Canis lupus familiaris: one gene and its partners. The protein of the gene in region 2 interacts with the protein of the main gene of each other region in a pairwise test. Links are inferred from orthologs where the notes say so. Each region holds a gene or a part of one and is shown on either strand. Other genes may lie near its edges.

Region 1 (4,151 bases), on a different chromosome or scaffold from region 2:
TAGGCGCCCAGGGGCTGCTGGATTGGATCACTTTTCTATTTTTGGAAGAGCCTATACTCCCCTCTGCCTCTTACTTACAAAGGCCAAGCCGGCAGGATGCCTACTCCAGGGAGGAAAAGACAACATGCTCTTGACTCTTTCACTACCAAAATGGGGCCCACTGCTCTGAGGGCTCTGTTCTACAGAGCCTGAGCTAAATGAAAAACTCAAACCTACCAGTTACTGGAAAGCAGCAACCTCAGCTTGGTCTCATGCTTCACCCCACTCTGCCCCAGTTCCAGAGCCCACGGTCCAGGAGCCCCGCATAAAAAATCCTCCAACCCCGGTGAGAGAGCGCATAGGGGCCTCAAGATGAGGGGTGAAGACAGGACTGCAGGACAGTGAGTGGTGCTGCGGAAACCAGAAACCAGGAATGGAAGCTGCCTGGCCAGGGACTGCAGTAGTCATGAGGCTGTGAGGAGGCAGGGCTCAAGAGCGGGAGTGCTCAGGTGCCCTGAAATAGGCGCCCATGACCTAGGGAACGCTCCGGGCTCAATGCCCTTCGTGGCCCTTCCAGGCCAACACGACTCGTCTTCAGCCTCTCTTTTCATTCGAATTCCCCAAAACTGGAGCCAGAGAGACTTCAGAGCGTATCCAGCCGAAGCCTGACCCCTCCAGGATGCGGAGAGCGAGGCCCAAGGTCACATGGAGCGCTCGGCTCTCCGGGCTGTAATCCGGGGCGCTCCCCTCTGGGACCTGGGGGATTCGGAGCGCCTCTCCCTTCCAGGTTCTCCCCGCCGGCGACCGCATCCTCACCTCCGCGGCCTGCAGAGCTCGGGGCCCGCCTCAGGCTCCCGGCCAAGGCCCTCCTCCACGTGCGCCCCCCGCCGCCCGGCCGCCCTCGGCCCTCGGCCCCGGCCCGCCACCGCGCGGACCCCGCTCGCCGCCCGGCCGCGCCCTCCCGCTCCCACCGCACCCCGTCCCCGCCCGCCGCGGTCCCGCCCCCGCGGCGCCCACTTCCCCCGGCGGCCGCACGCACGCCCCGGCCACTCACCGGTAAAGCCGCTTGGTATGGAGGACCTTCGCCTCGGGCTCGCTGCTCTCCCCTGGGGGGGGGCCTTGGCTCATGGTGCCCGGGTCCGGGGCGGCTCCCGGTCACAGGCCCCCGCCGCCCGCCGCTACCGCCACCACTGTCGTGTCCGGCCAGAGCCGGAGCCGCAGCCGCTGCCGGCCCTGCTCGGCCGCCATCGCTGTGAGGCGGCTGCCTGCGACAGCTCCTCCTCCGCCCGCCAAATCTCGCGATAGCAGCTGCCCAGCTGCGAGTCGGTGGCCTGAAGGTTACCAAATCTCGCGAAGCTCGTTTTCCCTCCGGGAAGTTGCCAGAACTAACTCTGGGCAACGCAGCCTCCTTCCGGTTTTTCCACGTCCTTGCGAAAAACTTTATTGACAAAGCTGCCGTGGGACGGACAGTGGGGCCGAATCTGTGCTGGGTGGCTGCCGATGGGCTCGAAGCCCGGAGCGAGGCTTTTTGCTCTGTCCTGCAGTGGCCATTTGACCATCCTTCCAACCCTTCCCAGCCCCCCACTGGAGCCGCATCTCTTTCAGATGACTGCTGATTCCCCTTCTTCCTTTTCCCCATCACTTGAACAACGTGAATGTGCAGGTTTCCTTGGAAAATGTGGGACACAAGAGTAAGGCTCTCCCGAGACGTGACCCTTGCAGGGCGCCGCGGCCCTGGGCTCCCGCGGCTGGATTTCACTTGGTGTCTCTGGTCAGCCCAGCAAAATTCATGGAACACCTGCTGCCCCCTGGCCACAAGCCAGGGCTCTGGAGATGCAGGGACCAGCAATCCAGACACTGTCCCGCCCTCACAAAGCTCAGGTGGCTTCTGGGGTGAGGTCCCACAGGGATGAGCAGCCACTCTCACATTTCTGCTTGAAAAGTCGCTCTGAATTCTTACAGCTTTCTTAACCCTGAACCTGGCTACAAAGCAAGGTGTTTCGTGGTCTGTGTAAGCTGTAATAGGAACACGAGTTCTTTCCCACCCCTGTCTCCTGGTTCCAGCCACCAGCCTTTCTTCTGTTCCTGAAATTGCCTGAGCTGGTCATTCCCCTGTTCTCTCCTCGAGACACTCCTCCTTTCCCATCAGGTCACAGCCCAAATGTCATCTTGGCAAAGAGGTTTTTCTTCACTCGAATTGTCTTCTTGATTAAGGTCTTTATCATCTGTTACCCCAATAGAACAAGCTCTTTGAAGACAGAGACCTCACCTGTCATCTTCTCTCCTGTGTCTGTGCCTAAAAGAGCGCTTAGCTGAAAACAGGTGCTCAACAAATATTGCATGGATAAATGTAGAAATTCCACCTCTTTTCTGGGTATCCCAACCTATTCCAAACACCCTTTGACGTACAGACCCACTCTTTATCCTCTGCTTTCCTGAACTTCAAGTTCCCACACATCCCATGTGCCTGGAACTCACACTGACCTTTATGCCCAGCTGCACCCCCACTTTCAGAAAGCAGGATATCCTCCACCAGGGCTTTTCTGTCGGCAGATTCAGCAGGGCGGGGCCTGCCCCTTTAATCTGGGCCCCACCTGCTCTGGTCAGACAGGTTTGGAGACACTGGTAGAGGGAGAGAGACTGAGAGGAATAGTTGCGGAGCCAGCAGAGGACCCAGGCAGCTCCTTTCCAGACGTTGGGGACCCTCCGCCTCTCCAGATGGAAAGTAAGAGGGTGTCATGGGTCCACGTGGCAAGGGATAGAAGGCCCTAGAGGAGGTGGAGAGACGGGACTCAGCCCCTTCCAGCAGCACTGCGATGGAGGAAACAGGGAGGGGAGAAAGACAAGAGAGGAGGCATGGGAACAGCCATAATTAGACCTAGACATCAGAATGGACAGCCCCAGGCCCTCTGGAGATGGAGGATGAAAGACAGGGGCTAAGGAAGAGTGTGGAGACTGCCCAGGTACACAACTTGGAGACAGAAGAGCAGGACGCACTACTGCTGCTAATTCCTTGGGACTTATTTGTTGGCAGATCCCTGGTATCAGTTACCAGGAGAGTTCCAAGCAGGAATCTACAAGGAGAAGGGGAGGTTTGAAGGTGAAGGAGCAGCTTCTCCATCCACAGGGAGGCCCCTAGTGGGAAGGAAGCTCCTGGCAAAGCTCTAGAAACCCACTCTTCCTCCTGTTTCCGCACTAGGGTGGCTATGACCCCAGGGATTTGGGTGGAGGGGTTAGGAAGAGTGGGTGGACTGGCCGGGGCCACAGCTGCCAGCGCCTGTGCCCCCTGACTCACCCTCTCCTGCTGGATGGCCTTTGATGGTGAAAAGGTGTCTCCATTATGGCTGCTCACTTCCCTCCCATCTCCTGTGTCAACACCTTCCTCTGTACCATGTTCACCCTAAGGTCCCAGAAGGGGCTAATGCCCATGAGACCAGCTGCCCGGAACCATTCCAATTCTATCAACCTGTCCCAAGGGCCAGAAGCCAGGAACTTCTAACAGAGCTTTCCTCCACTCCCTCCAGGGTGATATGACCTTATGGTAGACACCAGAACTGAGGCCCCAGCATGACAGAACCCGAAACCCTGGCCCTGCTGCAAGTGAAGGGGTCTGAGGCTGTGGAGAAGAGCCTGCCCCAGGCCCTGGTCCCCAATGGCCAGCAGCCGGAAGAGGAAGGTGGGGCTGAGTCCCACAGAGCTGAGTCCTCCGAGATGGGGTCTCCAGCTAGATCTCCTGTGGCTGGAGAGGGGGCTGAGGATGGTCTCAACAGCACAGTGAGTGAGGCTGCCACCTTGCCATGGGGGACCGGCCCCCAGCCCAGCGCCCCATTCCCAGACCCCCCAGGCTGGCGGGACATCGAGCCAGAGCCACTCCGGTCGGAGCCACCCACCAAGCTAGAGGAGCTGTGCGAAGATGATGCCAACTTGCTGCCCGAGAAGGTGGCCCGGGCCTTTGTACCCATCGACCTGCAGTGCATCGAGCGGCGGCCCCAGGAGGACTCAGCTGTGCACTGTGAGGCGGGCGAGGGCGAGCGCAGACGGGCCTGCCTGTCCTCCCGGGCTGCTCAGCCTGAGCCCCGCGAGCGCAAGTGGGCTGAGGCCGTGGTGAAGCCGCCTGGCCGCTCCTGCAGGGGCTGCAGGGGCTGCGGGGGCCGGGAGGGGCTGAGAGCCGT
Region 2 (4,245 bases):
AGCAAGATTGAGAGAAAAGGGAAGGTCTCTGTACAGCCGCAGGTTAACATAAAGACACTTGAAAAACAGAGCTTGAAGAGGAAAAGGGGAAAGCGTACCAAAGACAATCAGAATTTATTTTACAGTTTTGCCTACCCACCCCCACACCTTACCAGCAGCCTTCAGTACTCCTATTACAGGTGCCTGTACTACACAGTACATCTAGCCTCAGGCTCCAGAGTAGATTATACCCACAACGAGGAACAGGGCCCCCAACACAGGCACAAATGTGTCAATCCCTAACAGTTGTGCAGCACCTTACAGTTTACAAACAGTGAGTGAGATAATACCTCTATTTGACAGATGAGGAAATTGAAGGTCCCTTTCTCAATGTCACACTGCAAATATATAGCCAAACTGGTGCTTATACCTAAGTTTTCTGTGTCTCCAAATCGTTGTCAGTCTCCTAAAACCCACAAGGGGCAAGAACCCAGTGATTGAAGCTATCTAGCCACAAATTTTGGAATAATAAAAGACCACCTTATATTTTCCTTAAGACCACCTTATATTTTCCATAATAGTTAACATGATGGACTCTGGAACAGGTGTCTGGGTTCAAAAACTGGCTCCACCATGTGTTAACTGTAAACGTGAGCAAGTTTTGACTTTCTACACTCAAGTTGCCTCACCTGTAAATTGTGGTCACTACTAGTGTGTATCTCATAGGATTGTTTGAAAGCTACTAATAGTATCTACCTGATAGGGATACATAAAGAACCTGAAACATCACCCTGTAGGACTAAAAGTAGAATATTATTATTATTTAATAATTAACTGCTCTCTATTTACCAGGCACTTTATACACTACCTCATTTAGGCCTTCTGATAACCTGTGAGATGGGTATTATCAGTTTTGTTTTACCTTTGAGGAAATTCAAGCTCAGAAAAGAATTTAGGGAATCCCTGGGTGGCGCAGCGGTTTAGCGCCTGCCTTTGGCCCAGGGCGCGATCCTGGAGACCCAGGATCGAATCCCACGTCGGGCTCCCGGTGCATGGAGCCTGCTTCTCCCTCTGCCTGTGTCTCTGCCTCTCTCTCTCTCTCTCTGTGACTATCATAAATAAATAAAAATTTAAAAAGAAAAGAATTTAGGCAAGTCCAACGTTTGTAAGTGACAGACTTCCATACAGGCTGAACTCTAACCAAACAGTGAACCCAACCAAACACTGCCTCACGACACAGCCAAGCTTCCTACTCAAGTATATGGAAAGTCAGAGCCAAGTCTTTGATAAGACCTGTGCTTCTTTTAAACATCGTTATAGGGCAGCCCGGGGGGGGGCTCAGTGGTTTAGCGCCTGCCTTCAGCCCGGGGCCTGATCCTCGAGTCTCGGGATCGAATCCCACGTCGGGCTTCCTGCATGAAGCCTGCTTCTCCCTCTGCTTGTGTCTCTGCCCTTCTCTCTGTATCTCTCGTGAATAAATAAAATCTTTAAAAAATAAACATCAACATAAAATATGCGTAGATTTTTAAAAATCAATTCATTCACATACACACACACAAATCACTAAACTGTTACCACGGTTTTCAACACAGGAAATGCCCAGGCGCCCCATTAATTTAGGGCATGGCCACATACGTTGGATTCAAGTGCTCAACTACAACCTTCAACACCGGAAAGCATAGGTACTGTTTCCAGTACTGCCCAACTCCTTATAATCTCTCAGCACGTGAGCAAATTCAGAGTTTAGAAAAGTGGATGCTCCACCTGTTAGCTGGCATCACAACATCTCGCGTCTGGTGGCTGACGCTCTAGCCCTGGGCTCTGCCTTGGCTGTCTAGGCATAGGAGGGGCTGCTTCTCAAGCTCTCCAACTTGCCCCCAAGCGGACGATCCAGGAAACTAAGGCAGAGAAAAAGTCCAAAGCTGTTTTTGCGGGCAGAGAGATTCAAGTCCCTGGGGCTCCTATTTCCGAGCCCCTCTTCCACCTGCCCAGCCAAGCGCTCAGGTCTCCTTGTAAGGCCACATCTCTCCCAAAGTTGCCAGGGGCAGGCAGGGCAGGCGTTTCTCTTGGGCCAACGACGGCCGATCTCTGGGCTCAATGCAAATTAAATCCCCACAGGACGCGAAGTAAGCTGCTGGTTCAAATCCCACCCTAGCCTTTAAAAAGCAGTAAACGCCAGGTCGAGCTCTCTGGGCCACCTAAGTAGCCTCGAGGGATTACCGTGTTTCTAACAACTGGGGGCCACGCCCACCGGCCACGCCCCGCCCACCGCCACGCCCCCTCTCGGCCACAACACGCGTTGCCCCGCCCACCGCCCCGCCCCCCGGACTGCGCCACGCCGGTTGCCCCGCCCACAGCCCCGCCCCCTCGGCCCCCGCCCCGCCCCCCGCCGCCGCGGGGCGCCCACAGCGACTCTCCCTCCCGGAGCGCCCTGCCTGGGTCAGCCCCGGGGCAGCCGCCGCTCGCGGCTTCGCCCACAGCCCCCTCCCGTCGCAGGGGACGAAGCCCCCGGCATCGCACCTCTCCACCTCTCCCGAGCGCCGCGGCTCCAACCACCCGGCTCCCGCCCCCACGGCACGCGCTGGGTCCCCGCCCGGGGGGAAGGTCTGTGGCCGCGAAGGCCGCGGCGGCAGGCAGTCAGAGCCAGGGGCCGCCTGCCGGGGTCCCAGCGACCCTCGGAGCGGAGGACCGAGCGCCGGGACCGCCCGGGTCGTACCTGTCGAGCCGGGACCCGCCGCTCCGAGTGACGCGGCCCGCAGTGCATTGTGGGGCCGGGGAGGGGCCTTCCTGCGGGGCGGCCCCGCGTCCGACGTGGCTGGCGCCCGACGGGACCAGGCCCCGCCCCCGGCCCCTCGCCTAGGCCAATCAGCTTCTGCGGGGAGGCCACGCTGACCCGCCCCCTCCTGGGGGCCCGGAGTCGCCCCGCCCCCTTCCCGAAAAGACTGACAGCTCTTCACGCACCTGCGCCGAGAGGTTGCAAAGCGCTCAGCTGACGGCTAATGCTGTCTCACGAATAAAGCTCATCCGTCCTGCTGCCGCCTCTATCTAGAGGCAGTTTGTCTCTCACGCGGCCCTACAGCAAACACTTATCCAAGGAGCAGGGGGGAAACTAAGAAAAAAAAAAGGGATTTGTCCCATCTATCACCTCGCAAGAGGAAGCACCTAACCTCGGCAGAGAAATGCCAGATGCAGACCCTGCAGCCCCTTCCAACTTTTGCATGCGCCATACATTATTAAATAAGCACTTAATGACTGTGGACCACGTGCAAAGCACGGTGTCAGGCACCGGGTTACAGGAATGAACGTAACACTGGAGGGAATCTAAAGTGCAACGAGAGCGAGAGACGTTAAAGCAAAACGCATTACATAATTATAAATTGCAATCAGTACTATGAAGGAAAATTAGTAGGTGTGATGATGGATTAATTCTGGACTATCAGGGAAGAGTGTTTGAAGAAGCGCCTTTTAAGTATCAGGCATATGAAAGAGCCTTAAAGAATGGTTCAAGCCAAGAGAACATTAAAATCGTTAGGTTGTTGGGGCATGAAAGAACTTGGGGTGTTCTAGGAACTGAAAGGAAGTCAGTGTGGTTGAGATGTAGGGAGCAAGCTTCGGCTGAGATGAGACAGAGGCCAGACCGAGCAGGCTCTTACTGGCCACATAATGGCTTTTAGACTGTATTTTGGAATGTATCCTAAGGTTAATGGGCAGCTAATAGGGAACGTTAAACGGGATCTGATTTACATATTTAAAAGCTCACTCAGGCTATTTGTGGGAAATAGTATGGAAGAGGGCAAGTGGGGTTGCTGAAAGGCCAGGTGGGAGGTGGTTACATTAGTCAAAGCAGAGATGACAGTGGCTTGAACTAGGATAATGGCAGTAGAGACAGTGAGAGTTGGATAATTTCAAGACGTGTATGAATGAGAGGTGGAATCCAAGGGACTTAATAATGGATTGGTTTTCTGGGAAGAGTAAAGAAAAGAGGAGCATTAAGAATGACTCCTTAAGGGACGCCTGCATGGCTCAGCAGTTGAGCATCTGCCTTCGGCTCAGGGTGTGATCCTGGAGTCCCTGGATCGGGTCCCACATTGGGCCCCCTGCAGGGAGCCTGCTTCTCCCTCTGCCTATGTCTCTGCCTCTCTCTCTATGTCTTTCATGAATGAATAAATAAAATCTTAAAAAAAAAAAGAAAGAAAGAAAGAATGACTCCTTAAGTAACTAGATGGATTAAGAAGCCATTTACTGATTCGGGGAACATTAAAAGAG
Region 3 (2,875 bases), on a different chromosome or scaffold from region 2:
TGCCTTTTTCTGGGCTCTGCCCTGCAGCCTCTCCCCCTGCTTCTTCTCATAACTGGCTCCTCCTCATTTAACAGCCCACTGAAATGTCACCCTTTCTGAGACAGGACTTTCCCTGTTCACTGTATCTGGAGTAACAGCCTCCATTACTCAACGGTGCCTCGTGGCCTCAGGAAGGCCGATGGATGCCCACACACACCTCACCTATGTCCCAGCCTACCAGGCCCAGCTTCACTGCTTTGGGGTTAGGTACTCACAGTAATCCTTCCCCAAGGACAATACTGAGCCAGATGTGGGTGTTAGCCCCTCCCTGCCCACCTGTTCCTAAGGGAGAGTAGAAGGGCAGTGCTAGCCTGCTGTGGTCACAGCACCTGAACAGTCTGATCTGAGTCTTCCTCGGATGGGCCTGGCCCCAAAGATGGCCACGGAAAGAGGAGGCCGCCTACGTAGAGGCCCTGGGCCAGCTCTTCTAGGAACATACATGCACGGGGCAGTCTCCAAGCTCATTTTTCTGTTTGTCTTTTTTTACTTTCTTACAAAACCATGTGTCCCAGCCAAACAGGACGCTGCAGGCCTTCCCCCAGGCATTGTGGCCTGAGTGGAGAAGCCCCCATGAATGAGTGGCTGCCAACCCCAGAAGAACTGTCTGCCCCTCTGCACAGGGCCAGTGTGAGGAAGGGGGTCCAGTTGGAGGCTCTGTCCTGCCCTCCCCCCTCAGCTGCTGGGAGAGAAGGCGGACCCGGGTCCCCGGTGTTCTTAGAGCCTGTAAGGGAAGGAGGGAGAAGAGGGTCTGAGGGGAGGAGGAAAGGCAGGGGCCCAGGACGAGGCAGGCCAGGGGGCAGGCCCACAATAGCTCACCAAGAATGTGCAATGCTCTCAAACCAATGTGGCGATACCAATGATGACTGCCAGAATGACGACAGTGACAGACACACAAATGGCGATCAAGACTTTCTTCTGTGGGAGAGTTCAGGGAAACAAACTCAGAAGGGGAGGGAAGGCAACCAGGGCCTCAGACTAGAGGGGAGGGAAGGGGTGTCAAGGCTCACCTTCCGAGCCTTCTTCTGGTTCTCCAGGGCAATCTTGACATGTTCCTGCCCGCGTTCCACATAGTCTGCTGAGCTCAGGATGTTCTTCTCAATCCGGTTGATCATCTCCCCCTGCTCAGAGGAGGGGGACAGTTCAGGCAGGTAGGGATGACTGGGGGTGGAGAGCCCATCAGCTCCTCTGCTTGCTCACACTAGCTGCCTAAAGGACATTTTCTGGCAGGAAATGCAGCACTAACAAAGGTGTGGGGGTAGGACCACATCTGACCAAAGTGCACACTCCTGAGGGTGGCTTCCAGGATCCCTTTTATTATGTAGTCCCTTCTGCCCTGCTCCCTTACCCCCTACAACCTTCATTTGCAGTGGTGGCTTGGAGCCAAGCGCCTTAAGAAGCTCATACCTTGTCACAGAGGGTGAACTTCTGTCTCTTTGTAAATCTGTCTGAATTTGCTCATTCTTCTAGGCTTGCCTCTCAACAGCTGTGAAGCCCTCCCCAACCCTGCCTCCTCATGGCACTGCCAGCCTTCAGGTCCTGGTACTCCTACTGAATGAAATGCCTTCCCCATGAATCCCAGCTGCACAAGGGCATTGGCTGCAGCACTAGAGGCCGGCAGCTTACCTCACCTCACACAACGGGGGCAGCAGAAGAACACCACCTCCCACCCCAACCTCATTCAGATCTGTGGAGGCATGCCCCCTAAGGAGCATCTTTGAGTAGAACTCTTAGAGGTATAAGGGTGGATTCTATTGGTGGAGGAGGAGCCAGAGTTGGGCTACATCCTGGGTAGCTCAACTGGGAGACAGGGTAAGATGGTGAGTGTAGAGGAGTGGCCATCTGTGTAATGTGGAGGTGGAAGCAATTCTGGGGCTCAGCTACAGATGGGAGTGAGGGCCAGCCTGGGGGCATGGCCCAGCCTGGAGGGGGATGAAAGCCTCGGGGAGAGAGGCTAGAGAGTGGAGATGGACTGACAGACACAGTGGGGTTTCTGACTGAACACGGTCTCACATCAAGCCCAGCCAGCTGTCTTGCCCACCTGCATCTCCACTTCTGTAGCCAGGAAAGTGAAAATCTCATGAAGTTCACGGATGCTGCGTTCAAGCTGCTGTATCTCACTGTGCCGGGCTGAGATCTCATTTAGGGCCTGTCGAGTCACCTGCGTGTCCTTCAGGATCTGGGGAGCAGATAGGAATGGCCAGACAGGTCACAGGGAATCCAGCAGCAGATCAGAAGTTCCTGTTGAGCTTTCAGGCAGCCCTCAGGCTTAGAACTGGGGCCAGGACCTTGATGAGCGACCCTAGGCATGCTAAGTCATTCCCTTCCAGGCCTCTGTATTCCCTCAATCAAAGGGGACCAGGCCTCAGCGAAGATGAGAGTCCCAGAAGAGGGAGGCTAGCCATGACCACTCACATTGGATACAAACACCTCGCTTTGCCCACTGTCCAGCATCTGCTCCAGCTCCTCATCAGACACCATTCCAGCATTTGCTGTGAAGGAAAAGGTCAGGCTCAGAGCTGGGTCAGGTTACCTGACCCTGTAGGCCAGACACCACAACTCACTGATCTTCAGCTGCCTCCGAATCCGCTCCACATTCTTCTCCCGGTACTCGGACTGCATCAAGTTGCACTTGTTGATGAGCTCCACGAATTGCTGGGACAGGACCCCATGCTGATGATAGAAAATATAGGCTGGGCACCCCGGAAGGATTTGGCCTTAACATCCCCATAAGTATAGGGAGCAAACAGCATAAGCTGTTCTAGGAGCCTGCTGCCTTGACCACCATTCTCTCAAGGTCAAAGCCAAAGCCTTTACTAGGGCTTATAAGGCCCTATTG
Region 4 (4,261 bases), on a different chromosome or scaffold from region 2:
AAGTTGGCTGTGGCTAATATATGTAAGGTTTATGACTCCTGTGCTTTTTGGACTGACCTTTCCAGTGCATGTTTTGCTTTTGCTTCACAGTTTCTTTTCTATATCTCCCTATTCTTCTTCTTTCCCATCAGCCTAGGTCTCAGGCCTACCCTTGACAAGTCAATTAAACTGCTAATTATTTATAGCATGGGAATAGGAGTACATAGTGACCAAGAAGCACACATATTTCCCCTGCTATGGTCATTTAGCTCTCTATAATCTCAGACTAGTAACTCTTGTTGATTGTGACTCAACTAATCCTTTCCATACTTCATTTCAGGGTCTATTGTTCTGACATTTGTCTTTTTATTTTTTTTTGGTTTTTGCTCTGAAACTTTTTCTCATTGGTTCAGCTGTGGAAGATGCTGCAGTTGCAGCAGTGTACATCTGGAACAGTTGGCTGACTTGTTGAACTTCCCCCAGGGACTACTCCAGGGAGAGGAGGGGAGGGGAGAGGTGGAGAGGCCAGAACAGTTGCCTACAAACAGAGATGCCAATATTGCCTGGCCGGTTCTGTGGACCACCCTTGTAAAAATGCACCTCACCTGGCCCTCAATATCCCCATTTATTCATTGAAGGCACATATTCTCTGCTGAAAACTGGTTGCAGAGGCAGGCGAGAAACTCCTCTGGCTGTGGATTATCTCATACAGCACTTTCTGCATTGTAAAGGGACCCACACATATTTGTTGAATTAATTAATAGATCAAGAAATCTCAGGAGACTGTTTGAACCTGCATGGGGCAACATCACCTCAGCTCCACCTGGCTTACCTGCACTTTTCGGCCACTTAGATTGAGGCTCGAGACTCACTCCAGGAGTGGGGCTGCCTCATTTCCACCCCAATCTCACTCCCTTTGGCTCCCAGGCTCCTGGGTTTCCTTTTTCCTTTGGCGCGCCACAGGATTGCAAACACTGCAGGCATGGTTTCATTCCAAACCAAGAACTGTTTTAATTAGTTTAACGTCTGTTAAACGCTTTGAAGATTGAAAGCAACAGATAAGTGCTGGATGATGTTATTAACAACTGCAGTTAATTGCAAACATTTCTATTAATTCTAGGTTCTGCCTCCTTTTCTTTGCTCCACTTTCTTTCCAAGGTTCCCAAATTCTCGGCCTCCCCCTTCTTCCCTCCTCCTGCCGGTTTGGACGGTAGGGGGTTAAATTGGGGCGGAGTCCAGGCATGAACGACAGCGGCGGTCACCAACTGGAACAGGCGCAAGCGGGAAGAACTGGGTGGGGCAGTCAGGCAGAGGCGAACCCCCACGCCCCCAGGCCCCGCCCAGTGGCTGGAGGCCCAGGGTGGAATGGCAGGGGGCGGAGCGCCAAGGGCTGGCCGGCCGGTGGTTGGGCGTTCGGGCAGCCGCCCGGGGGATGGGGCGGGGTCGGCTTGGGCCACCTCCTTCATTCTCCCCTCAGGCCGAGCCGCCCCTCTCCCCCGTGCCTCCTCCTCCCTTTCCCACCCCTCAGAGTGGAGCTGCACATGCGGCAGCTCCCTGCTCCGTTCCGCCCAGCCTCCGTTGCTTTGGAACGGGTCCCTGCAGCCCCTAACCGATGGCAGGGCAGTAGCTGCCTGTCAGGGGTCCTGAACGGCTGAGGCAGACGCGGCGGCTCCAGGGCCTCAGAGAGTGGGTGTCTCCGGAGGCCATGGGCTACCCAGAGGTAGAGCGCCGGGAACCTCTGCCCACAGCAGCGCCGCGGGAGCGGGGGAGCCAGGGCTGCGGCTGTCGCGGGGCCCCTGCCCAGGCGGGTGAAGGGAACAGCTGCCGACTCTTCCTGGGTTTCTTTGGCCTCTCGCTGGCCCTCCACCTGCTGACGTTGTGCTGCTACCTAGAGTTGCGCTCCGAGTTGCGGCGGGAACGGGGAGCCGAGTCCCGCCTTGGCCCCGGCACCCCTGGCACCCTGAACAGCCCCGGTGGCCTCGACCCTGACGGTCCCATCACTCGCGACTCCGGGCAGCCATCACCTCAGCAGCAGCCGCTGGAAGCAGAAGAAACCGCACTCCCCCCACACTCCCGGGACGGGCACCAGGTGAGTCACCTAGTAGGGGCGGTGGCGGTGGCGGCGGCGGAGGCCCCCTTCCCTTGTGGGCAGGGCGGGAGCCCTCCCCCACAGGGCCCTGGGGAGGACTCTGCCACCTCCAGCCAAGTTGCAGGGCCGGACCGGGGAGGAGGCAGGCGAGCCGGGGAGAGGTTGCCCCGGGGCAGGTTGCCCTCGGTCCTGGTCTAGTTCCCCCAGACTCTCTCAGGACCCCTGGACTTGGGAACCCTGGCAGGCGCCCGCCGCCCCCGGCTACCAGCTGCCTTGGGGAAAGTTGGCGGCTCTCCCGGCCGCGGAGGTGCGGACGCTGCCCCTCCGGAGGACTAACGGCAGCAGCTTAGCCCTTCTACTCCTGGTGAGATTCTCTGCCCGCGGTGCTTGTTTTTTCGTGTCCAGAGCTGATGCCAGCACAAGCAGGCTCTCCTTTGGAGTTGGAGCGGTAAACGGCTGTAGTAACTGCTCCACAGTTGAAACAACTTTTAATCGTATATTTAGCGCGGGTCCTTGTACGCTGACCACAACGTGGGCTTGGTCACACTTACCTGCAATTTGAGACTGATTGTCCTCAGTGTTCTAGTGAGGATCAGCGCCCCGGTGGAATTCTGGTAGAAGTATGCCGTCTTGCTAGACAACTTTTGAACAGCAATTTAAAAAATCTATGAAAATAAAACTCACCCTTTGCATGCCGGTTCTGACTCTTGGGGGTGGGGGTGTGAATAGGGTAAGTGTGAAGTCTCTTCACTACTGCTAGTTCCAGAAAAAGAATCCACTGATGGTATAATGAATTACTCAAGAGTAATCTTTCAAGAGCAGTTTTTGTTTTGTTTTGCAGTCTTTATAGTTGGCAAACTATTAGCTTTGGTGATTGTCTTCCACTTTTTCAGCTCTTTATTCAACTAACTTTAGTGCACTTAAAATACGTATTCTCTTAACTGCCCTATTTTGTCGTGAAATTTAAAAGAGGCAAGTGTAAGAGAATCTTTTTGAGGTGGTTAGAGAATAATAGTGAATTTGTTCCTTTTGGGGAAGAGGGCAAGTTGTGCCAATAAGTTTCTTGAAATGAGGGACCCCGGATTTCTATATTTACTACCACATTCAGAGTCATTGTCATACTCTGTAAACATCATTTCTGCTCTTTGACTACCCATCCAAAGCTGGCATCACATTCATGACGAAACTGTAATGTTGGGACTGACATATATTCTACATTGTGCATTGTAAAATTACCCTGAGCCTAAAAATGTCTTGCTAGCACACTCCAACATACTTATATAACAGCTTATCAAAGAAGAGAATCAGTAGACATGCTTCTCATACTTGAAACTTTAAACACTGTAGCTAAATGATAATTAACTAGGATTCTGGCTCCCTTTATCTATCCACCCCCACCCCCACAGTGCCCAGTAGAAATACTTAACAGCTGAACATTGATATTCTGTGAAAAGATGAAGTAATTGAACTTCCTTAGTCAAATGGTAGCCAACCCTTTTCAGTATTTAGGATGGACAGACCTATGTTTATAGACTAAGGATTATAGCAGGACAGCTGCACTCTTCTGTGGTGGTATGGGGCTCTCACTGGTCTACAGTGGCATTTAGTTGCCTATTGTTTGCATGGCACTTCAAATAGTTCTGTCTAGATTTACATACAGCTCCTCATTTTCTGTCCTTTACTTCTGTTTTAATCTTTTTTGAGCAGTCACGACAAGCAAACTGGCTCTTTAGATTTGCTGGCATCAATTGGAGTCAGACACTTTTACAATTGTAAGGGGCCATATGAGTCCATTTTGTTTGATCTCCTTGGATAGCACATAGGTCCTGAGGGAGGGGAATGATTTATCCAAGGTCATTTACAGCTATGGTCAAGGGTAGATAGGAAGTTGGCCTCTTGACTCCCAGTTCAAGAAAGTTCATTTGTTCCCCTATAGCAGGCAACTCCTGGAACTTTTGGGAGAAAGTGGGATGGAGCTCCGTAGTACAATTCTTACAATGTACAGGGCTCAGGTTTGCGTCAATTTCTTTTATTCTACCTGTATTTTGGCCAGACTAAGTTTAACATGTATCTTTACTCTTCCTCACTGTTACTTTCAGGAGAATTGAAGTACACTTTCAAGGAATTTTAGCCCAGATTCAAATTATGTTTCTCTTGAGAATATTAGTTTTACTATACCCACTCTCCCCACCC
Region 5 (4,133 bases), on a different chromosome or scaffold from region 2:
TCCATAGTGGCTGCACCAATTTGCATTCCCACCAACCGTGCGTGAGGGTTCCTTTTTTTTTCCATGTCCTCACCAACACTTGTTTCTTGTATTGTTGATTTTAGCCATTCTCACAGGGGTGAGGTGATACCTCATGGTGGTTTTGATTTGCATTTCCCTGATGATGAGTGATGCTGAGCATCTTTTCACATGTCTGTTGGCCATCTGTATGTCTTCTTTGGAAATAAGTCTATTCAGGTCCTCTGCCCCTTCTTAAATTGGATTTTTTTGTTTTTCTAGTGCTGACAGTTGTATCAGTTCTTTATATATTTTGCATTTTAACCCCTTCTCAGATACATCATTTGCCCATATCTTTTCCCATTCACTAGGTTGCCTTTCTGTTTTGTTGACAGGTTCCTTTACTGTGCCAAAGCTTTGTATTCTGATTTAGTCCCAGGAGTTTTTGTTTGCTTTTGTTTCCCGATGTTGCATTCTTGAGCAAAATTTCTTCTTCGCTGGAAAACCTCAGTCTTTGCTCTTCAGGCCTTTCAACTCATTAAATGAGGCCTATCCACATTATCAAGGATTAGTAATGTCTTTTACTTAAAGTCCACAGAGTGCAAATGTCAACCAAAGCTCCAAAATAACTTCATAGCAACACCTAGACTAGTGTTTGATGGAATAACTGGGAACTATAGGCTACCCAACGAACAGATAAACTTGACCCTCACAGTGGTCTAATCATTAGGGAAGCTGAGAGAGAATTTGGACTTAGACCAGGGACTGCAGGGCCTGCCTGGGGACAGTGGGCCCTCCAGTGGCTACAGGTAGATCCCTTCTTTCCTGCCCTTCCCTCCTTAGATTCTCATGGTTCCTGCTCAGACTGACCCAAGGCATTAAAAGGCCATCTCCCCTGGGAACTCTACATTGGGGGGAAACAAGATGTGCTCTGTAGAGGATGCCTCCTGAGGGGAGCTGTGGCCTGAAATACTTGCCAGAGCTGGGCTTGCAGAAGCCACAACAAGTTTGGGATCTAACCCTGTTCTGGCTACTGACTGGCTTTGGGGTCCTGTGCCAGTATCTACCTCTCTTTAGAAATGATGGAGAGTAGATCCCACTGGCCCCTCAATGGGGCCAAATCATGTGACCCGAGAGCCAGGGTAGTTCTCACAGGCAAAGTTTCTGAGATAAGTATCAGAAACTCCTCCTCCTAAGTTGCTTACAGAGTAGCAGGGGAGAAGACTGTGAACCAAGCCAATAAGATACAACAGGAACACAAGGTGCTGGGTCCAAGGCCTGAGTCCTGTGGGAGAGTGTGGCTCCACCCCCATGGCCAGATATATCTTCCTCGAGCTCCTGCCCCTGGAAGAGCAGACTTTCCAAGAGTCTGCTCTGTGCCCGGCTTCCTGTGTATCCTGGCTATAGCTTAATAGCTAAGCGCTAGCTGTGATGGCAGGAGGCCCCCCTACTATCAAGGAGGAGATGGAAACATCCATCGCTGAAGAGCTGGTTCCTGGAAACTATGGGAAAAGCCAGGAGCACCTGGTGATAGCAGGTGAGGAGCCCCTGTAATGTCCCTTTCCTTTGGGTGTCTGCACCCAGTCACATGTGTTGGAGAAGGTGTGTTCATGGCTGGGAAGAGTCATATATATGCAAGTATGTGTGGCTATGTGTGTGTCTGTGCCTTGGTGTGCGTATACCTGTATTTGTGCCTTGATGAACAGGAAGCTGGGGGGGAAAGGTATTGATGATGTGAGCATTTTGAAGCCTGTGAGAGAGTAGGATGGGATCCACATGTGTGGTCCTTATCTCCCCCTGTCCAAGCTACCACTGTGTTTATGGCAAAGTATCCAGAGCGCTCAATTTATAAGATCATTCAGACCAATTCTCTCTCCTTTTTAATGCCTTTTCCTCCTTTAGAGTAAAATCCAAACTCCTTTCCTTGATCTACAAGAGCCAGCCAATGCCACCTCCTCAATATATTTCATGCTGTGGTATGATGACCCACAGCACACTGCATTTATACTTGTCCTCATAAGACCCGAAGGCTGATTCTTCCTGATAGCCTTTGTGTTGACTGCTACCTCTGCCTGGGATGCTGTTTTCCTAGATTTTCCATGGCTGCCATCATTTTTGTCTTTCAGGTCTCTGCCTCACAGGTGTTTCTGGCTTTTCTAGAAGTAGCCCTTCCTTCCACCATGTTGCCCTGTTCTTATCATTTTGGGAGCATGTATCTCTTGATCTGAGTTAACACTGATAGATTATACCCATTTTGCACCCCTCACTTCAGCTAAGCACACATAGACAGTTGATTACTAGATTGCTGAGATCTTGTGTCTTGGTCATTGCTCTCCCTCCAGTAACCTAGCCCAGAGTTTGGCCCTCAAGAAATACTTACTAAACTTTTAAACAAATGAACAGACTGAGGCTTGGGATCTGCCAGGGGACAACAGTGAATGAATATTGAATGACTCCTAAGAAGTTTGGGTACCTTATCCTCTTTCTGGTGTGTCCTGTGTCCAGGAAGCCTTGGTATAGCCTCTATGGGTGTTTCTGGGGCCTCTCTTCTTTTGCCTAGAAATGATGGAGCATGGATCCCAGTCTGTGGGTGCTTCTCAGCGGCGACAGAAGGCGGATCCAAAGGCTGCTGGCTCTGCTGCAGGTCAATCGGGTTGGAATATGACTGGCAACCGGAGCAAGAAAGCGGTACTGTATGGAGTCCTTGGCATGCAGTGGCTAGGCTGGGGTTGGGACAACAGACTAAAGGGGCTCCAGCTTCATGACGGTAGGTTGAGCAGAGCCAGATGTTGACTTGGGGCCAAAGGAAAAAGCTTTTGTGTACCAGTGAGGCAATGAAGGCAGGGATGTCCTTTGAGAGGTCAGGGCCATCCTTTGGTAGGCTGGGAGCTCAACCTTGGGTTTCCAGAACACCGGATTCACATATTCCTTGGGGACTACATATACACTTTATTTTGCAAAACTCTATTGTGTGTGAAATGACACTTTCCTTTATAAATAAATAATTCTATATGTATATTTCCTTCCATATCTATATTATCTATATTATCTATATAAATTATAACTATATAAATTATTTAATTATCAACTAAATAATCAGCCTGGAATCATGAGAATCATTGATGAATAAAAGGAAGGAAGGATAGGAAAGAAAGAATCTGTCTGTAGCCATTGGAGGCCCCACTGTCCCCATACAGGTCCTACAGTCTCTGGTCTAAGTCCAAATTCTCCCTCAGCTTCCCTAATGATTAGATCACTATGAGGGTCAAGTTTACCTGTTTGTTGGGTAGCCTGTAGTTCCCAGTTATTCCATCAAACACTAGTCTAGGTGTTGCCATGAAGGCATTTTGGAATTTATTTTATTTTATTTTTATTTTTATTTTTTTAAAGATTTATTTATTTATTTATGATAGAGAGAGAAAGAGAGAGGCAGAGACACAGGAGGAGGGAGAAGCAGCTCCATGCACCGGGAGCCCGACGCCGGACTTGATCCCGGAACTCCAGGATCGCGCCCTGGGCCAAAGGCAGGCACTAAACCGCTGAGCCACCCAGGGATCCCCATCATTTTGGAATTTTAGTTAGCATCTACACTCTGTGGACTTTAAGTAAAAGACATTAGTAATCCTTGATACTGTAGATGGACCTCATCTACGCTATTAAATAGAAATATACATACATAAAACAATATGATTCTCAAGTCTGGAAAAAGATTAAGACAAGTTAGGTTCCTATGTTCCCTGGCTGTTAGGAAATCCAATCAATTGAATCTGACCATTATGTAGCCAATCCTTTAAAGTACCTTTAATGTGGGTTAAGAAAAGCTCTGGAAAACTGGCAGGTACACTGTTACAAAGGATACTGGGAAAAGGTGGTCATTTTGGAGAGGAGGGAGACCTGAGTGTTCTAGGGAATCCCGTGAGATCTCTCACTGTGTAGCCAATCCTTTAGGTTACATTCACTGCTAAGTGAGAAGAAGCTTTGGAAACATGGTTGCTATACTGTTGCAAAAGTTGCTGGAAAAAGAGAACCCAGTTGGAGAGGAGAGGGACCTGACTGTTGAAGGGAGTCATCTGAGTTTCAAGTTCTGTATCCAATCTGTTCCACACTTTCACTGTGAGGGAGGGAAAGCTTTAGAA
Region 6 (3,277 bases), on a different chromosome or scaffold from region 2:
GTCAAGAAAAGCAGAATCACAGATGGTTGATTATAAGGTTATGAACCCAGCTCCTTTGAAGCTCTGCTACTCTCATCCTTTGACCTATTTACCTCTTAAAAGAGAACCTGCCGAGATTCCAGACTGATTTCCAGGTTGAACTCAGCTAGATGAAATAAGAAAGTATATACAAAATTATTTTGCAAGGTCCAAGTCACTATGGAAATCTTAGTTATTATCCTTGTTCCCAGGAACCCACCTCCTCAATCATTTCTTTATTAAAAAATGAAGGACAGGAGCTTGTTTAAGGAACTTCAAGTCTAAAATATAGCTGTTAATGTGATAGCCATGCTTCAAACTGAGAGGAGGTCATTGGCAGTGATTCAGCATTGAGTAGTGATATTCAGAAAAGCAGTAGGAAAAACATTTGTGAGAAAAGAGAGAGATGACTGTTGGACAGAAGCGTCCTGATGCCTTTGCTCTTGTTTGCTCCCACACAGCACAAATTGACCCCGGAATATCTGGAGCTCAAAAGGTACCAGGCCATTGCTTCTAACAGTAAGATCTACTTTGGCAGCAACATCCCTAGCATGTTCATGGACTCCTCTTGTGCTTCGAAATATTCAGATGTTAGGACTGGAAGAAAAAGCTCTCTCCTCTCTAAGGAGGCTCTTGAACCCTCAGGAGAGAGCCCCATCCAAAACAAGGAGAGCACAGGTTGATGCAAGTGGTGGAAATGTACTCCCATATCAAAATGTGGCCCAAGGGGTAAAGTGGGAACAATAGTTATACGACTCTTCAGATTCACAGAGAACCTGTGCTCCGTCTGTTCTGCCTCTCCTGTGGTAGCCCTGGTTTATCAGCTGATTGGAAGATAGAGCCAGGTGTCTGGCACCCAAATGTCTTTTCAGCTACAGTTTTATCAAGTATCCTGTGTGTGTTCCTTTCTGAACTGGTACTCATGAATGAGGAAAAGTCTGATGCTAAGATACTGCCTGCACTGGAATGTTAGACATTAAGAAAATAACAAGCTGTGTTTTTCTAAGCTGAGATCTATTGAATAATGTTTACATTGGTCCCCGGGGAGATGTGTGCTCAGCCATTCAAGACATAGGAGGCCAGAGAAGATGGCCAGGATGTGGTAAGTGTAAAGAAGATCGATTACACCTGGGGCCCAGGCTCTCTCTTTGGGGCCCAGTCCCAGTGTTCATCTGTGTGATTAGCATCTAGTCTGCTGAGGTTCTCCAGGAAATGATCTTCCACTTGAGCAACTATTTACTTGATACTATTTGCACCTTTTTGTTTTCCTATAGTCGAGTTGGTGGCCTGCTGGGATATGTACCTTGCCACCCAACCAGGGATTCCTAATCACTAGTTATTGCATTAGTAGGCTCAGAGATAGAGCTTGGCTTGAAGTTCTGGGTGAGATGAAACCTTTGCTTTGAACCAAAGCTCTGGGGCCCTGCATTCCCCTCCATTGGATGATGACTGCATCACTGCCCCAAGGCCATTCATAACTAAGGTGCCTGGTTTTTAGCTATAGACTCCTTATAAGTCACCTCTCAGCTCTGGCTGGCCAAGAGTGGGGCAGGGCTTTAATCAGAACTGCGAGCAGCATACAGTCCCCAGCTGTTCACTGTATAGTATTGTATCATAACTGCAGGAAGTTTTCATTTTTAAAACTGGATTTGGGGTACATTTATTTGCCTCAGTACCTCTGCCTAAAGGCTAGTCCTAGGGCTGCCATGGTTACTGGCACACCGATTCTCCTCAATTTGTCCTTCTGGAGCCTACATAGTGTGGAACAGAGTAACTTAGCATCTTTGGTCATCTTTGTCTCTCTCTCTCTCTCTTTTTTTTTTCCTGGCTCTGAGATACTGAAATCAAAGTTGTTCTCCACCTTTCATCCTCCCTAGGAAATCAGGATTCCACTGACTTCCTGGGCAGCCAGGGGATTTAGTCTCCTGTGAGAGGATGACAGAGTGAGTTATGAGTTGGCCTGTGGCAATGGGAGACCTGTTTCATCTGGGCCTTTATTCCCTTTGGATTACCTTTCCCGAAACAGTGTGCTGCATAGTTAGGCCTGAGTTTGTGCAGCTTGTTAAGACACTTTTCATGTATACGATGTTCAAGCCAGAGAGAAAAGTCATGGGACCACTTCCAGAAACCTTTCCGCTGTCAGTCCTGTCAGCCTCATGACAGTTTGCAGGTTGTGCCAAACACTTTCTGGGGAAGGTATCCCAGACATGAGTGGGTCTTTTCCCTGGGCCTTACACTAGAGAGGCATTTGTAATATGGAGAGAATCCTTTTTTTATTTTTGCCTATTGTATACACTCTCTTTATGAATGGATCTTACGTTTTCTAGTCCTCCTTTAAAGAACCTTTGAACTATAAGAATAAACTCATCACCTGTCATGGTATCGTTGCTGCAGGTAGATAATGATTGTTGTGGGAAATTTGGGTCAATTGACCTTTGTGCTTTCATTCCTAGAGATGTTTCCTATTCCCATGAGCTAAAAGCTGTTGCCCCAAAATGATGGATGTGGGTTTTCTTACAAGCCCCCTGGTGACAGAGTTGAGGAACAGGGAACTAATGTTGTGAAATTGTAAAGAAACTACTTCCACTTAAACTCTCCATGGAGTGTGCTTCCCAGTGCTCGCTCAGGCTCTAAGTCTATCCCTCCTGCAGGGATGTTCCTTTTGGCAAATATACACTGTAATCTTGAAGTCTAAATTTATATGTGAAATGCTACCTTTTTTTAAAAAAAAGAAACCAAATAAAATTATTTTACTATCAGTGATTTGTATTTTTTTTTCCTATGTCTCCATTCTTTTCTGTTGATTTAACACGTTGCTAAGACTGTCTTGCCCATTTCATCTAGGTAGCCAGTTTATTTACTAGTTTAACTCAACTGCAAAGGCTTTTCTTATACTCTTCTCAGAATACTGCTTCCCGAGTATAAGAATTTTGAAAGCAGGGTTTCCACTCTTCCTAACTCACAGAATTTAACAAGGAATGTTGTGTTTCTTGGTGGGATGTGGCCAGCATCAGAGGAGGAAAGAGGGAGCCTGGAGCATTGTGCCCTTCAGAGTCTAAGAAGTAAAGAAGGGAAATGGTGGTTTTACTGAGGTAGAGGAAGGACAAATTGTACAAATTATAACTGGCAGTGGTATGATGTAACTAACTTCACTAATTCAGATGTTAGTCCAAGAGCCAGGGCTGGACCTGCTCTTCCTAAGCTCTCAACCTTTCCTTCCTGGGGAACAGTTTCACAGTGATGTTGGGTATCAGGGTTT
Region 7 (3,978 bases), on a different chromosome or scaffold from region 2:
TTCAAATCTTCACATTCATTTTAAGAACACTCATGAAGCTGCCCAGGTCACCAAGGCTATGTCTATCCCCAAAGCCATCAAGTATCTGAAGGATGTCCCTTTACAGAAGCAATGTGTGCCATTCCATCATCATCATGGTGGGGCCGATAGGTGGGCCCAGGCCAAACAGTGGGGCAGGGCATGGTGTCAGTGGCCTATAAACAGTGCTGAATTTTTGCTGCATGGGCTTAAAGATGTAGAGTAATGCTAAACCTAAGGGTTTAGATGTAGATTCCCTGGTCATCGGGCACATTCAGGTGAACAAAGCCCCAAAACGAGCCACTAAATTTACAGAGCTTGTGGTCAGATTAACCCCTGCAAAAGCCCTCCTTGCCACATCAAGATGATCCTTACTGAAACAGAGCAGATCGTTCCCAAACCGGAAGAGGAGGTTGCATAGATGAGAAAGATATCCCACAAGAAGCTGGAGAAACAGCAATGTATGGCCTGGGAATAAATTCAGCATGAAATGGATGCAAATAAAAGTAAAAGCAGGGGGAAAGGCCTTTAGCTTACAAACCAGCCCATAGCAGAGAATGAAAAACCACATATTGGTAGATAAAAACCTATAGCCAGAGGGGACAGAGTCTTCAGGATCAGGAAAAGAATGACTGAGGCAAGTCTGAGGTTAGGTAGCAGATGTGTGGGAGGAGGCCAGGCAGGTGGCATACTGGAAGTGAAAATGTGAGGCTCTTCAAGAAATGGCCATGATGAACCCCCACACTGATGCCAAAGCACCACCTGCCTTCAGCTGTGCCCCCCTGGGCTTGCAGGCACTGCCTCCTCACTCCTCTCCCTGGAGCTCATCCTAGACACAGGGAAAATTCTGTCGGGAAGTGTGCTGGACTCCACATTGGGTCAGACCCCTGACTGCCTGAGAGGTTCAACCTGGCAGAAGAACAGGGAAAGCCACAAAACTGCAGGGGCAGGTGCCAGCAAGAAAGGCGGCCAATGCCAGGAAGACACCTACGGAGAGAGGTGCAGATTGCCCAAGGGCAAATTTGCTCAGTGCACCCAGCTTTGCTCTCACCGAGGCCAAGTGGACTCATGTGCCAGGGCCGAGGGTCCTCAGGCGCTCTTGAGCTGGCTTATCAGGACCTCAGTTCTGGAGGGCCAGGAACAAACAGGTTTCAAAGTCAAGGGCTTGGCTGGCAGAAGGAGACTGGGTCCTTCACTTCTGTCCCCTCTCCCTACCGGCGTATATAAGAGCCTAGGTCCCATTTGGGAGATGAGAGGGGAAGGTGCCTGCAGCAAGATGGATGTGGGCAGCAAGGAGGTCTTGATCGAGAGCCCGCCGGTGAGTATGACTGTGTGTGTGTATATGTCAGTGAGCTGGGCTTTGCCTCATCCAACCCCCCTCAGCCTGTTTCTTCATCCAACTTCATCTACTTAATTAACCTAGGACTGTGCTAAGTTAGGGCAGGGACACCAACCACTAAGTCCCTTGGGGAGATGGACATGGCAACCAATCATTCCAACATGGGGGGCCGAGAGGCACAACAGTGGTCAGTGCAAAGGGCTGCAGAGAGCACCGAGTAAGCAGCTGCCGTGTGGGAAGTCACAGGAAGCTTCACAGAGAAAATGACATTTGAGCTGGCTCCAGAAGAATAGGTAGGAGCTCACTAGGTGGAGGAGGCAAGCATTGGCAGGAAGAAGGGGTAGCGTGTGTAAAGGCAGGGAGGTGTGAGAGAGCACAGATTATTTGGGGGAATAGAAAGGGATGGGAATGGCCGGGGTGCCAGGGGTCCAGAGGAAACAGCAAGAGACGAGTCTGGTGAGGCAGGCTCCCTTGGGTCTCTCCACGCTAGACTACACGTCTAAGCATTTCTGGTGGAATCCAGGCCACCTCCTCCAAGAAGCCTTCTCTGTTCTCAGCCCTCCTTTGCACATCCATAGCATTGGTGTCCAGCTGTGGGAGGGTGCCCCGCTTGTGCAGGGAGAGGAGGGACCATCCTCACGACCTCATACCTGTTTCCCTGCCTGCCCCACCATGTCAGGACTACTCAGCAGCTCCCCGGGGCCGGTTGGGCATCCCCTGCTTCCCTTCGTCCCTCAAACGCCTGCTCATCATCGTAGTAGTGATAGTCCTTGTGGTCGTGGTGATTGTCGGCGCTCTGCTAATGGGTCTTCACATGAGCCAGAAACACACTGAGATGGTGAGCAGGCCTAGAATGGAGTGGGCTGTGGGTACAGAACCTGTGAAACAGAGGGGCTTGGGGTGGGCTTGGCAGATAGGGAAGTGTTTGATGGGAATGGAGAGGAGGAGGCAGGGGGTGCCTTGAGAAAGGACAGAAGCAGGAGCCAGGTAGCAACCGGGGCTTGGGCTTTTCCACCAGGCTTGTGGCTGGCATGGCCGCCTGTTCCTTCCAGCATCCTGTCCCACCCAGCCTGTCTGAGCTCTCAGAGAAGACGGGATTGCATTTTAGTAAAGAGGGCTGAGGGTGGAGGTAGGCACCGAAGGGATGTGTGGGGAAAGAGAAATACCAGGCCACCACCCTATGACTTCCTCCAGGTCCTAGAGATGAGCATGGGGGGGCCAGAAGCCCAGCAGCGCCTGGCCCTGCAGGAGCGTGTGGGCACCACTGCCACCTTCTCCATTGGCTCCACTGGCATCGTAGTGTATGACTACCAGCGGGTGGGTACACCTGGACCTCTCAACCCTGGGGACGGGGGCCAATGACAAGCCTTTGCTGGACCCACAGAGCTGTGTCACTTCATGCACACCCATCTCTCCCCGGTTCCTAGTCCCTTTGCCTCCCCAGGCTGAGCCCCAGATTCCAATATGACTCTCCCGGGTGCCTAGCCCAGAGGAAGATGGCCCAGGCTCAGGGTTAGGGAGTGAGCAAGGCGGGTCCTTCCTGAATGAACTCTGGGGTTCGTGTACTCAGCTCCTGATTGCCTATAAGCCAGCCCCGGGAACCTGTTGCTACATCATGAAGATGACTCCAGAGAACATCCCAAGTCTTGAGGCTCTCACTAGAAAGTTTCAGGACTTCCAGGTAGGTGTGTGAGTGAGAAGAGGTGGGTCGTCCCCTTCCCAGGGCTGCCGGGAGGAGCATCTGAGGAGGACAGCAATTTGTCACCTGTAAAGCGCTGCTCCCTGTGGGCTGCCAGGTGAGTGCCCTCTCTAGACTCACCTGTACCACCCCTTCCCTACCTGTGCCAGCCTGCTGGCCTCAGCTGAACCTCACCACCTGGGGGCTTCTGACTCCAGCACAGCCCCTCTTTACTGGTGAAGAAAGCAAGACTTTTATAAGGCCCAGAGAGATGGCCTGACACGCCCAAGGTCCCACCGTAAGGACCACAGGTGAGACAGAAACTCCGTTCCCAGGCTCCAAATCAGGTGCTCTTTCTAGGTCAAGCCAGCCGTGTCTACCTCTAAGCTGGGACAGGAGGAGGGCCATGATGCTGGCTCAGCATCCCCTGGGGATCCTCTGGACTTCCTGGGCACCACAGTGAGCACCCTGTGTGGTGAGGTGCCCCTCTTCTACATCTAGGACCCCTCAGGTGAGCAGGTGTGACCTGGGCAGGACTGCCCCACCTTGCCATGTCAGCTGACCCGGAACTGGGGAACCCACTAAGCCAGATCATCTAGGGAGCTCTGGGGAGGGAAGGGTCATACACTTCCCTGTCCCCCGGCCCCTCCCCCTCACCTGATAAACTGTGTTTCTTTGCTCCTCAGGACCCACGGAGGCCCCAGGTGAGGAGGGAAGATCCACGCTCAAAGGGTCTTTGGCAGAGACGCGGGAAGCTGCTCCTGCCCACACCACGGGGACCAGCGCTGGCGAAATGGGAGCTGTGGGGAGAGGTGGGAGCGGGCAGGAGCTGCGGCTCCTGGGCACACGGGGCTCCGACCACGAAAGAATAAAGCAACCTGATTGAAAAATAAAGGGTGCGGCTCTTCCATCCTCCAGGCCCTCGCCCTCGGTCCCGCCCTCG

Evidence for each region.
Region 1: the proteins of SEC22A (region 2) and TMEM79 interact in binary tests that used the Homo sapiens proteins (3 or more experiments, as listed by UniProt). The two-hybrid records come from large-scale screens. The link is inferred for Canis lupus familiaris from reciprocal best matches to the Homo sapiens genes SEC22A and TMEM79.
Region 3: the proteins of SEC22A (region 2) and STX4 interact in binary tests that used the Homo sapiens proteins (3 or more experiments, as listed by UniProt). The two-hybrid records come from large-scale screens. The link is inferred for Canis lupus familiaris from reciprocal best matches to the Homo sapiens genes SEC22A and STX4.
Region 4: the proteins of SEC22A (region 2) and EDA interact in binary tests that used the Homo sapiens proteins (3 or more experiments, as listed by UniProt). The two-hybrid records come from large-scale screens. The link is inferred for Canis lupus familiaris from reciprocal best matches to the Homo sapiens genes SEC22A and EDA.
Region 5: the proteins of SEC22A (region 2) and FATE1 interact in binary tests that used the Homo sapiens proteins (3 or more experiments, as listed by UniProt). The two-hybrid records come from large-scale screens. The link is inferred for Canis lupus familiaris from reciprocal best matches to the Homo sapiens genes SEC22A and FATE1.
Region 6: the proteins of SEC22A (region 2) and ERLIN1 interact in binary tests that used the Homo sapiens proteins (3 or more experiments, as listed by UniProt). The two-hybrid records come from large-scale screens. The link is inferred for Canis lupus familiaris from reciprocal best matches to the Homo sapiens genes SEC22A and ERLIN1.
Region 7: the proteins of SEC22A (region 2) and SFTPC interact in binary tests that used the Homo sapiens proteins (3 or more experiments, as listed by UniProt). The two-hybrid records come from large-scale screens. The link is inferred for Canis lupus familiaris from reciprocal best matches to the Homo sapiens genes SEC22A and SFTPC.

Annotation. Positions count from the first base shown.
Region 1 is NC_049228.1:41,578,400-41,582,550, reverse strand, and holds the start of TMEM79 (transmembrane protein 79), read left to right. Parts: upstream 1-1,351; 5' UTR 1,352-1,670; exon of another isoform or gene 1,671-2,219; 5' UTR 2,220-2,301; intron 2,302-2,586; exon of another isoform or gene 2,587-2,590; 5' UTR 2,591-2,704; intron 2,705-3,503; 5' UTR 3,504-3,546; coding exon 3,547-4,151. Other genes in the region: protein SMG5, read right to left, coding at 1,034-1,107.
Region 2 is NC_049254.1:26,897,105-26,901,349, reverse strand, and holds the start of SEC22A (vesicle-trafficking protein SEC22a), read right to left. Parts: upstream 2,801-4,245; 5' UTR 2,696-2,800; intron 2,626-2,695; exon of another isoform or gene 2,500-2,625; intron 2,221-2,499; exon of another isoform or gene 1,878-2,220; 5' UTR 1,758-1,877; coding exon 1,744-1,757; intron 1-1,743. UniProt on the Homo sapiens protein: May be involved in vesicle transport between the ER and the Golgi complex.
Region 3 is NC_049227.1:17,346,011-17,348,885, forward strand, and holds the end of STX4 (syntaxin-4), read right to left. Parts: intron 2,710-2,875; coding exon 2,601-2,709; intron 2,529-2,600; coding exon 2,452-2,528; intron 2,216-2,451; coding exon 2,078-2,215; intron 1,158-2,077; coding exon 1,047-1,157; intron 955-1,046; coding exon 874-954; 3' UTR 856-873; intron 761-855; 3' UTR 501-760; downstream 1-500. UniProt on the Homo sapiens protein: Plasma membrane t-SNARE that mediates docking of transport vesicles. Necessary for the translocation of SLC2A4 from intracellular vesicles to the plasma membrane.
Region 4 is NC_049260.1:54,265,629-54,269,889, forward strand, and holds the start of EDA (ectodysplasin-A), read left to right. Parts: upstream 1-1,461; 5' UTR 1,462-1,684; coding exon 1,685-2,068; intron 2,069-4,261. UniProt on the Homo sapiens protein: Cytokine which is involved in epithelial-mesenchymal signaling during morphogenesis of ectodermal organs. Functions as a ligand activating the DEATH-domain containing receptors EDAR and EDA2R. May also play a role in cell adhesion.
Region 5 is NC_049260.1:120,980,271-120,984,403, forward strand, and holds the start of FATE1 (fetal and adult testis-expressed transcript protein), read left to right. Parts: upstream 1-1,333; 5' UTR 1,334-1,428; coding exon 1,429-1,534; intron 1,535-2,557; coding exon 2,558-2,685; intron 2,686-4,133. UniProt on the Homo sapiens protein: Involved in the regulation of endoplasmic reticulum (ER)-mitochondria coupling. Negatively regulates the ER-mitochondria distance and Ca(2+) transfer from ER to mitochondria possibly implicating it in the regulation of apoptosis.
Region 6 is NC_049249.1:13,112,007-13,115,283, reverse strand, and holds the end of ERLIN1 (erlin-1), read left to right. Parts: intron 1-479; coding exon 480-701; 3' UTR 702-2,777; downstream 2,778-3,277. UniProt on the Homo sapiens protein: Component of the ERLIN1/ERLIN2 complex which mediates the endoplasmic reticulum-associated degradation (ERAD) of inositol 1,4,5-trisphosphate receptors (IP3Rs).
Region 7 is NC_049246.1:35,255,085-35,259,062, reverse strand, and holds SFTPC (pulmonary surfactant-associated protein C), read left to right. Parts: upstream 1-1,178; 5' UTR 1,179-1,267; coding exon 1,268-1,336; intron 1,337-2,036; coding exon 2,037-2,195; intron 2,196-2,551; coding exon 2,552-2,674; intron 2,675-2,927; coding exon 2,928-3,038; intron 3,039-3,395; coding exon 3,396-3,536; 3' UTR 3,537-3,546; intron 3,547-3,721; 3' UTR 3,722-3,929; downstream 3,930-3,978. UniProt on the Homo sapiens protein: Pulmonary surfactant associated proteins promote alveolar stability by lowering the surface tension at the air-liquid interface in the peripheral air spaces.